2 linked regions of the Drosophila melanogaster genome follow. The protein of the gene in region 1 interacts with the protein of each later gene in a pairwise test. Each region holds a gene or a part of one and is shown in the gene's direction. Other genes may lie near its edges. The genes, in order: TwdlC and bru3.

Evidence for each region.
Region 2: the proteins of TwdlC (region 1) and bru3 interact in a two-hybrid assay, tested with the Drosophila melanogaster proteins (one large-scale study listed by BioGRID).

Annotation. Positions count from the first base shown.
Region 1 is NT_033777.3:26,992,782-26,997,041, forward strand, and holds TwdlC (TweedleC), read left to right. Parts: upstream 1-2,050; 5' UTR 2,051-2,152; coding exon 2,153-2,288; intron 2,289-2,503; coding exon 2,504-3,450; 3' UTR 3,451-3,661; downstream 3,662-4,260.
Region 2 is NT_037436.4:13,795,399-13,800,452, reverse strand, and holds the start of bru3 (bruno 3), read left to right. Parts: upstream 1-1,925; 5' UTR 1,926-2,429; intron 2,430-5,054.

The DNA of each region.
Region 1 (4,260 bases):
TATACATTTGATGGGCTTAAGCTTGTAACTCGGCCAAAATGGCAGCCACAGCTAAGAAAAACACCTTTTTAGAGAGCTAAAGACCTCAGCAAACCAACGCAATCACTTTTGATTTGATTCCAGAAATTAAATTTTTTGTCAAAATTTTCCATTTTTTATAAGGGGTAACATCGTAATTTTTCGCAAAAATTGACAAAAAATTTTTTTTTCATTCTTGAATGCCAAACGATTAAGCATGTTTTTACGAGTCCAGCAAGGTATGACAATCTATATTTTGACCTCGTTTACGGATAATTTTGCACATTTTTACTGATATTTTTGAACAATTTTATCAATTTCTATGCCATGTTTCAATGTACTATTTACTTATGTATATGTTTAAATTAAGTTGCATCCCTGATTTTATTTTTTGAGTCCGGACCCTTCTTCCCGTTGACAGCGCTTGACTCGTTAGGCTTCTTCTTCGGTGGCCAAGTGCACCAATTTCCAATCGATCGAACGGTGACGTAAAGCTCCAAAACCCTGTTGCCATTACGTACGCCCCCCAACTTCTTGTGCCGCCTTATAGCCATGTCGATGTAGTTATAGCCATAAGCTACATGTGTCCGCACAGCCACTCGACATTTCTCCACCTCGCTGCGTCGAGATGCGTCGGCTGCAATTACAATTAATGATTTCTGTGTGTGGACAGCAAGTGGACAAGCGTCTCGATTCAGCTGGTTACTGGTTGGTTACTGGGTATTGGATAGTGGGTACTGGCGGTCTATTTACTTTCGAACCAATGGCTGTGTGCAGCAAATCCAATTAAATGCCGCTCGCTATTCACTTTATTTGGGTAGCTGCTGTTTTGTTTTATTACTTATTGTTTTCGTTTTCGACGCTTAATGTTTGGCTTCAATTTGAAAATTGATTTTGATTTTGATTTTGTTACGATTGTTTCGTAATTGTTATCGTAGGTGTTGAAAGTGTCCGCCGTCAACGGTTGACAGTTCGGGGGAAATTTGGAACTGGCCTTGAAAAGCCCTTCGTTATTGTGTTATTTTTGGTCTGATGACTGCGTGTATTTATAGGTTTATAAACGAATTTGTTAGGGTTTAAGAATGGGTTAAAATGCATTGTATTGTATGCAATGACTGGGATCTTTTAAAGTAACTATTGTTAGTTCCATATGCAATGAGACAACATTGAAGCTTAATGATACTTAAGAATGAGTAGAAATAATTATAAAGAAAAATACTAAAGCTGAAAGCATAATAAACCTGCAACTTTGTTTTACAAATTTACTAAGTTACACATTTAATGTATACTTGGCTTAATGTCCTAGCACAACACGTTGTTTTCGTATTTCCCGTTCACTATTTAGATTCCTTGCTAATCATGCGAAAAAATGGATTATCCCTTGACTGGATTGCCGGGGAATCACATGACCCGGCTGTCGAGGAAGTACAAACTGGACAAACAAGTTCCTCGAGGCGTCACATGAATGAAGTTCATCAATGGGACTCGGTCGAGTGTGTAATCGTGGGTCACTTTCGATTTCGAGCCAGCAATTTAAGTGCGCTCCAATTGTGAAAATAACACTTGGCGCACTTGGCCGAAGGTTGCGGCTGCTGCATCTTTCAGATGCGAGATATGAGATACGAGCTACGAGCTACGAGCTACAAGATACCAGATACGAGATACTCAGCGGAGAGTGTTACACATAACGATTTGGGCAAACATTTTTTCGCGTTGGCCCAGGGCATTGATTGTGGACTATGGGGTTGCCCCCTCCTGGGAGATTCGTTTTGCAGACGGGTTTGCTCCAATTTCTCGCTTGTGAACCCAAAAGACACGTGTCGCAGACTTCTCTCTGCATCCGTATCCGTATCTTTGCTCTGCGCCGCCTTCTACTCGCTTTTGGCCAAGTTCATCCGAAGCTCTTCGCGTCTCTTTTGATGCTTAATTAAATTCATTTTTTCGTTTATTTCGTTTACCTTTTGTAATGAGACTTTGAGCACTCGGAGCTGCGGACATCGAATCATATAAATTCGGACCGCGGCGGCCAAGTCAGCATCAGTCGAGCATCGAGCTTCTCCATCGAAGCATTTCATCGAGCCAAAGGATTACGGGCTTACTAAGCAGCAAAGGATTTCCGATTACCAGAAGCAAAATGCGTGTCTCCTCGCTGTTCGTTGTGTGCGTGGCCTCCCTGGTGGCCACCACTTTGGGTCGTCCTGAGCCCCCATCCCCGTACTCCTACCACGGATTGCCTCAGCAGCAGAGCCAGCGGGCTTTGCCACTCAATGGTAAGTGGGCGGAGGATGAAATAGAAACATTATAGGAAATTAAAGCGAAAAAGATTAAAGCTATTTATGTGACACAGATTTTTGCTAAAGTCTTATGAGCATGACAACTATTAAAGATTAGATTAAACATTGATTATAGTAATATAATTCAGCAAATGTAGATATATTAACTCCATATATTTATCTTAATCTTATTAATCTTTCTTTTTGGACAGCTCACCCCGTTCCCCCGCAGATTTACCAGCCTCTGCCCCAGGAGCAGTCGTTTGCCAACTTTGCACCGCCCCAGCAGACCTACTTGCCACCCCAAATGCATCTGGATGCCATCGAGCAAGTGGCTCCCACTGCCGCCGCCGCTGAGCCCCTGAATGCCTACGATGACAGCTACAACATGGCCCACCGCCTGTCCGGAGTGCAGCATGCCAGTGGCTACAACAATGGCCCCCAGGAGACCAAGGTGCACAAGCACATCTACGTCCATGTGCCGCCAAAGGACTTCGAGGAGGAGGATGCCATCCAGACCCGAGTTCACCACCAGCAGGGACCCAAGCAGAAGCACTACAAGATCGTGTTCATCAAGGCACCATCTGCTCCGGCTATCCGTCAGCCAGTTGTGCCACCACCACCCCAGAATGAGGAGAAGACTCTGATCTATGTGCTGCACAAGAAGCCCGAGCAGGAGCAAGATATCGTGATCCCGACGCCACCACCCACCAAGCCATCGAAGCCAGAGGTTTACTTCATCAAGTACAAGACCAAGAAGGACGAGGCCCCCGTCTATGGACCCCCACCTGCAGAGATGGAGCCCCGTCAGGCCACCGCCGAGGATTTCGCTCCATTGGCTGAGGTCGCCGATGTCCTGCCACCCACCACCCTGGCTCCTGCTCCCGAGCCGGAAGTAGAGCAGCCAGCCATTCCCTCCGCGGTCTACGGACCACCCACTGCAGCTGCCTATACTGGTGAGGAGGTTCAGACCACCTTGTCCGCTCCTGCCAACCAGTATCTGCCCCCTGCCACCGCTCCCGCCGCCCTGGCCATTGAGGAGCCCTCAATGGCGCCCATCGTGGTGGAGGAACAGCCCGAGCAGCGACTGGCTCCTTCCCATGTGCCTGCCACCAGCTACGGTCCTCCCAACCGCTACTTCCTTAAGAAGCTGAAGTGAAGCCCGCTGCTTTGAGATGGTGATGCCTTAGCCAATTTCACAGTTTGTCATAGTCTAATGTCCATTGGATGCACCTCTTCCCAATCCCCTGTTCCCAATTCACACATGCACACGTGCCAAACCTCCCCACATGCACATCTCGTTGTTTGTTCGTTTGTATAACTTGTTACATTTGTTTTAATAAAGAGTAGATAATAAATATCAAATTTATAAAAAAAAAACTAAATGGCCTTTTAGTGTGGAATATTCCTCAAAAGTTTTATACACTTTCTTTAAGCTTAGTAAATGGTCCAGTTAATTCGGATAAAACACAGTGGAACAACAATGGATTTCGCATTTCAATGATTTAATGATGGCTCATGCCGCCTAATATGATAATTGACCCTGTGTGAAGTCGTGACCTTGGCAAATTTACAGCCTGCTTAATTGCGTTACGTTTTGTTGATTTCGGCTGTAGGCCCAATTTCGACGGCTTTCCTCATTGCTGTGCTCATAGAAAAATCGTAAAGTAATGGCCAAAATGGCAAAGCACTTAGAGGGAAGAGGCCGGAGCAACATGTTGCTGAGACTTCCCGCCAAAAGCAACAGTTGCTGCCTGCGCAGAGCTATGTTGCAACATGTGGATGGAAAAGCCGGGAAAAGGAGTACGAGGAACTGCCTTTCGGGTTCGTGCCCGAGTTTCGTGGCCGTTTGATCAGTCAGTCCGGATGAAAAATCCGGCTGCACACTCAGTTCGCTTTCTGTGCTCGCGCGAGTCGCATCGTAGGTGGGCGTGTTCCTTCACTTTATGTCGGTCGTCTCCGTCTGGTT
Region 2 (5,054 bases), on another chromosome or scaffold:
TAAGTGGATACAATTAAAACTAGTTTCTCTTTCTCTATTTGCGCAGTTCTTTCGATTTATTTGTTATAATTAAATTAATATGATTTATTTTAACCGATTTATTTGCACACAAAAAATAGTGTAAAAATTTTTTAAATATTGAAAAAAAAAAAACGTATAAACGCTAGTATTTCGCAGCTTTTTAAATTTGCCTTTAAATTGAGCTTCTGATTAATAGCGCCTGTTTTTTATGCCGGCAAAGTCCTTCCTTTTTTGTGTTAAAGATATCCTCTTCCATTCTCATCTGGTGTTTTCGATGTTTCTCCCTTAGGCTTTTTGGCTCATCTTAACTCACAGCGTTCCTTTTTAGTTTCACTGTCTCCATTCGTTTTGCCTTCCATAAATAAAATAAATGTAGGTGAAAATATACATAAATAATGGGCACAAGCGCGGCTTTTTTTATGAAGTGTTTGAATGTGCGAGTGTCAACCCAGGGCACTTGAAAGATGGTGGGGAGGGGGGCTTGTGATGGGGGCGACGTCTGTGAAAATTATAAAACAGACGACGCAGCCATTCTGGCGGGGCAAAGATATTATGGCCTCTGAAGGCTGAGAAGGGGACCCCTGCCATGTAGGCGTGTGTAAATAGCAAAAACCTAGTCGGGCGTACACAAGCCAAGTCATCATGGAAAATGGCTAAACAGGCAAAAGAATAAGGGCCAAAGAAGATAGAAAGATAACAGAGTGGAAGGCATGACAAATACGTTTTCTCTGCCTTTTTTTTATGGCATATACATATATGCCCCGAGGTAGTGGGACGTATAAAGTTTGACCTCCAATCAATAAATCACATTAAAAGGGGATCTTTCAAGAAATGAAGAGAATGACAATGGACAAAGATGGCCAATAACTGACCCATAATTGTTCATTGTCACGTCATTGTCCGCGTCAGTTGCTCAAGGCACATGAGAATAGTATCCAGCAAGAAATGTATTTATTCTTGGCCTCTTTTTCGTTCTTTTCCGCTAATTATTGTGTAATATTAATCTTATTAATAAATAACAAGGAATCATAGTATCCATATACTAAGAAACATCTCTCTAATAGCTAAGAAGTATCCTTTTCTTGTCACCTAGATCTCGCTTTTCTCCGCAAGCTAGATATACAGCCCAAGTATCCTTAATAAACACCGCACCGATAAATGACTGTTACTCATAGTATTCACCTAGAAAGGATGATGTACTTTTCCCCGAAATGAACACTTCGCCATTAAATGGGTGAGGAGTATCCTTTTTGTATCACTTGGCTCTGGATTTTCGCCGCTTTTCTCTCTTCATTTTCTTCTGGGCCAGTCAGGTCTCATCATCCGCTTGCGCTTTTTTCTCAGCTTTTGGCTTGATTTCCTTTTTTGTCGCTACAGCCAGAGTCCTTTTGCTCCGCGCTTGCCTTTTACTAGCCCAGACTGCGCCCACAAAGACGTGTACATATATGTGTTTTTCCAGCTGCCAAAAGGCTGCGCTTGGCTTCTTCGCAGCCAGTGTTTTGTTTTTGGCTTCGTCAGCCAACTTTAGCTATTGACAGACCTTGCCACCTCGCGTCCATGTCCTTGCTGGAAAACATTTCGCTTTCAGCGCTCATTTTGCAGGATGTCGGGAAAGTGATGTAAAAAATATACACAACAATTTCAAGATATCTTCTGTGGCCTATACTGCGTGCCCAAAAGCCATAATTATCACGCGTTCACATGGCGTATACGAGATTTTGCTGTTTCGCGTTTAAACTCTTAACCGAAATTTATGCTTTCGCTGTTGCTAATTGTACATTTTGTTGCTCTTGCTGTTTATAATGTAAAATTTATTGTGTTTGTGCATGTTTATTATCGCCACGCCGTTACGCGCCCTCATATGGATTTGTAACACGCCCCCCTACACCCCCTCTTTAAACATCACTGTGCATTTATGTTTTACAGCGTCTGCAAAAAATATTATCAAAAGTAATAAATGAATAACAAAATACAAAACAAACGCCATCAATAATTCATGGGAAAAAAAACAACACAAACAGAAATAACCAAAAATAAAAGCTTGCGGCGCGTCGTTCTTTAAATATTTTATAAATTAATTCTGCAAACAGCGTAAGCGAAATTAAAAAATACAACAAAAACATCAGGAATTAATGTAGTGCCTAATGCAATGTGTAATAAAACCGTGTAGACCAGGAGGTGCGCCAGATCATTAAATACCAGCAAACACTGTTAGGTGAAAAAAAAAAAAAAATTATGAAATACAAATTTATATTTATTATTGAATAAATATGCAGAGTAAATATTACATATGCTAACCGTGAAAACAAATTGAATTATACAGCAAATAAAACAACAAATACTTTTCGTCGTGTTTTCGAATGTTTGGCTATTAAAGCGCTTACAGCTTAATTGGGCGTTACAAAGTGGTAAGTAAAAAAATAAACACTTTTGATAAACAATTATTTTTGAAAATATAAATTATTAAAATGATTTTAGTCAAAAGTTTCATAGAATAAGAAGATGCTTTACATATTCATAGTGTTATATTTTGATATATGTCCGTTTCTCTTTTTATTTTTTTAGCCCACATTAATCAAACGACTATCTCAGTAAATTTGCACAGTATTATTATAGTTTAATTCATCGCACAAAAGACTCCTTAATCTTTCATGCAGCGATCTTTTAATATCCTCTAACTATTATCAAAACATATCAAAAATTGTAATTAAGATACCATTGCATTTCCCTTGGTAAATATATCACAGTTTTTTCTAATTTAAACACACGTACACAACGTCGTTCATGGCTTTATCAGCCAACTTTGCTGATTCAAAGATATCTGTCGACCCTCATCCATCAACAAAAACCCAACCACAAATGTCACATGCAAATTCGGTTCGCCTTGTAACGGAAGTGCAAGCAAAAAATAGCGAAAGATTTTTATACATAACTTTTTATGCTACTCATTGTTGGGAGCAGAAACTTCAACCTCCTTCCAACGGTTTGAGGTGGTGCTTGCTGCACTTTTGCGGCGAGGTGAGCTGTACGGGTGTGTGCACGTTTTTGCATTTGCACCACTTTATTTCAATTTTATTCGCCATTTTCTTCGTTTGCGTGGTACATTTCCTGGGGACGAGACGCAGCAGTGACTTTTGCTCGGCAGCTGACTCGACTCCACTTTCCGTTTACCCTGGGCTGCCCTCCTCATTACCCTCTTTACATTTCTAATTACACGCTCATTTTAAACTTGAAACATTTGCAAACGGATGCCTGGGTCTGGAGGAGTCTGCGATTTTCAGTAACAATTTTCCATTTCCCATGCCATGAGGCTGCAAAAATGTTGGGTCACAAACGTAATAGACCAGATTTTCCTGTGACTGCTAAAGAAACCTAGCTGGCCGACCACAAATGTCTGGCATCTAGGGCTTGATTTGGAGACAAGTCTTGCATTTGACAATTTTCTTTCATTTTGGGGCCTGAAAACATTTTCCTACAATGTTCTCAATATATTCCACTATTTTCGAGTTCATTTTAAGACCAATTGATATTACTAGTAGTATTTAATCTTAAATGTTCGCTTAGGGAATAGTAATTTTTAATTGCCGTTTTTATACTTAGAACACAAAAAGTAGACACTGTAATTTGCGAACCCTGGACATACCAAACGCGTTTTCGTTTTGTTAAGTTACTAAAAAATTAAAACAATGCTGCATGTCCATTTTGCATGTGAGGAAACATTTGGCGCGCAAGTAAATGTGCATGTGGGTGAGATGGTTTTTGCCGTTTCTAGACTGCTCTTTGTTTGAGTTGTGTTTTAATTTCCATATTACGTGCTGGCCAGAGATTTATCAATGCGATTTATATAAGCCATAATTTCTCCATTTCACCCAGAAGTAAGTTAGTAAATTACTGCAATCGCTTGCAACATCAATGGGTAAAATTTAACAGCAATAACCTTACATAAGATTTCACTATTTTCCTTTTTTTATAATAGTTTGAAAAATTTATATTATTAATTGTTTAATTAGAAATAGAATAAGTATGGATTAGAAAGTAATAATGAAGTGAAAGGAAGCGGCGTTGACTTACGTTGCCATTTGACCTTTTCAGGCCCCTTGAAGGGCAATTCTAACACACTGTCTCTCTCACAGGAAATGTTTATAACATGTCCTCCTTTGACAACTTATTCAATGAAAAGTTTCAAATAGTAGCTTATGAATAGTAAAAGAAAGATTATGAAATCTATTGGTAAGCGTTTAAAATGTAATTGAAATATTGCTCATACGCAGCATGTGCCCATTTATTGAAACTGGAAAGAATGCCAAGTTGGTTCATACCCAGTTGGCCCAATCAGGCCAATTCAATGACATAAATCTTAAGGCAATAAAGCAAAGAATGTCGCAGCATGAGACTATTATATTGTGCATACTGAGCTGGTAAAGCAAATCTCGTAAATGTACTAATATAAAATTGGTATTAATGGGCTGTCGCCTTAGGTGAAATTACCTTTAAGAATAATTGTATAAACAAGCAAGGGGATAGGAAGTTTAATAAGAAAGTATAAACTTTATAATTGAGAAAACTATTTAAGCCTATTTAAGCTTTTTTTATCTAACCTTTATCTCAACTTTTTCCGTTCTATGGTTCTACTTTTGCGTCTTTAAATTTAGCAATTGCCGCACTTGTAGGAAAGTTTCAATTATAAGTCAGTGTGCCAAAAATTGTTTCACAAACTCTAATTAATTTATAGTGCTTCACAACTCGTAGCTTAAATGGTGCAGTTGATAAATTGGCGAGATAAAATTATAATAATGCTGATGTGGAAATAAAATATGCAAAATACTTATTGTACAACTCGTTCCTATTTAATGATATCTTTTCTCAGTTACTATTAAATATGTTAATCTGCGCAAAGCGGCACTAAAAAAAATACACCAACACGCAGGTAAAACTGAAAATACCTTTAAAGAAAACAAACTTCAGCGGCGCTATCAACTGCAGATTTCGCTGTTGGTATTGCCAATTTAAGCGAAAATTAAATTGGAATTTGC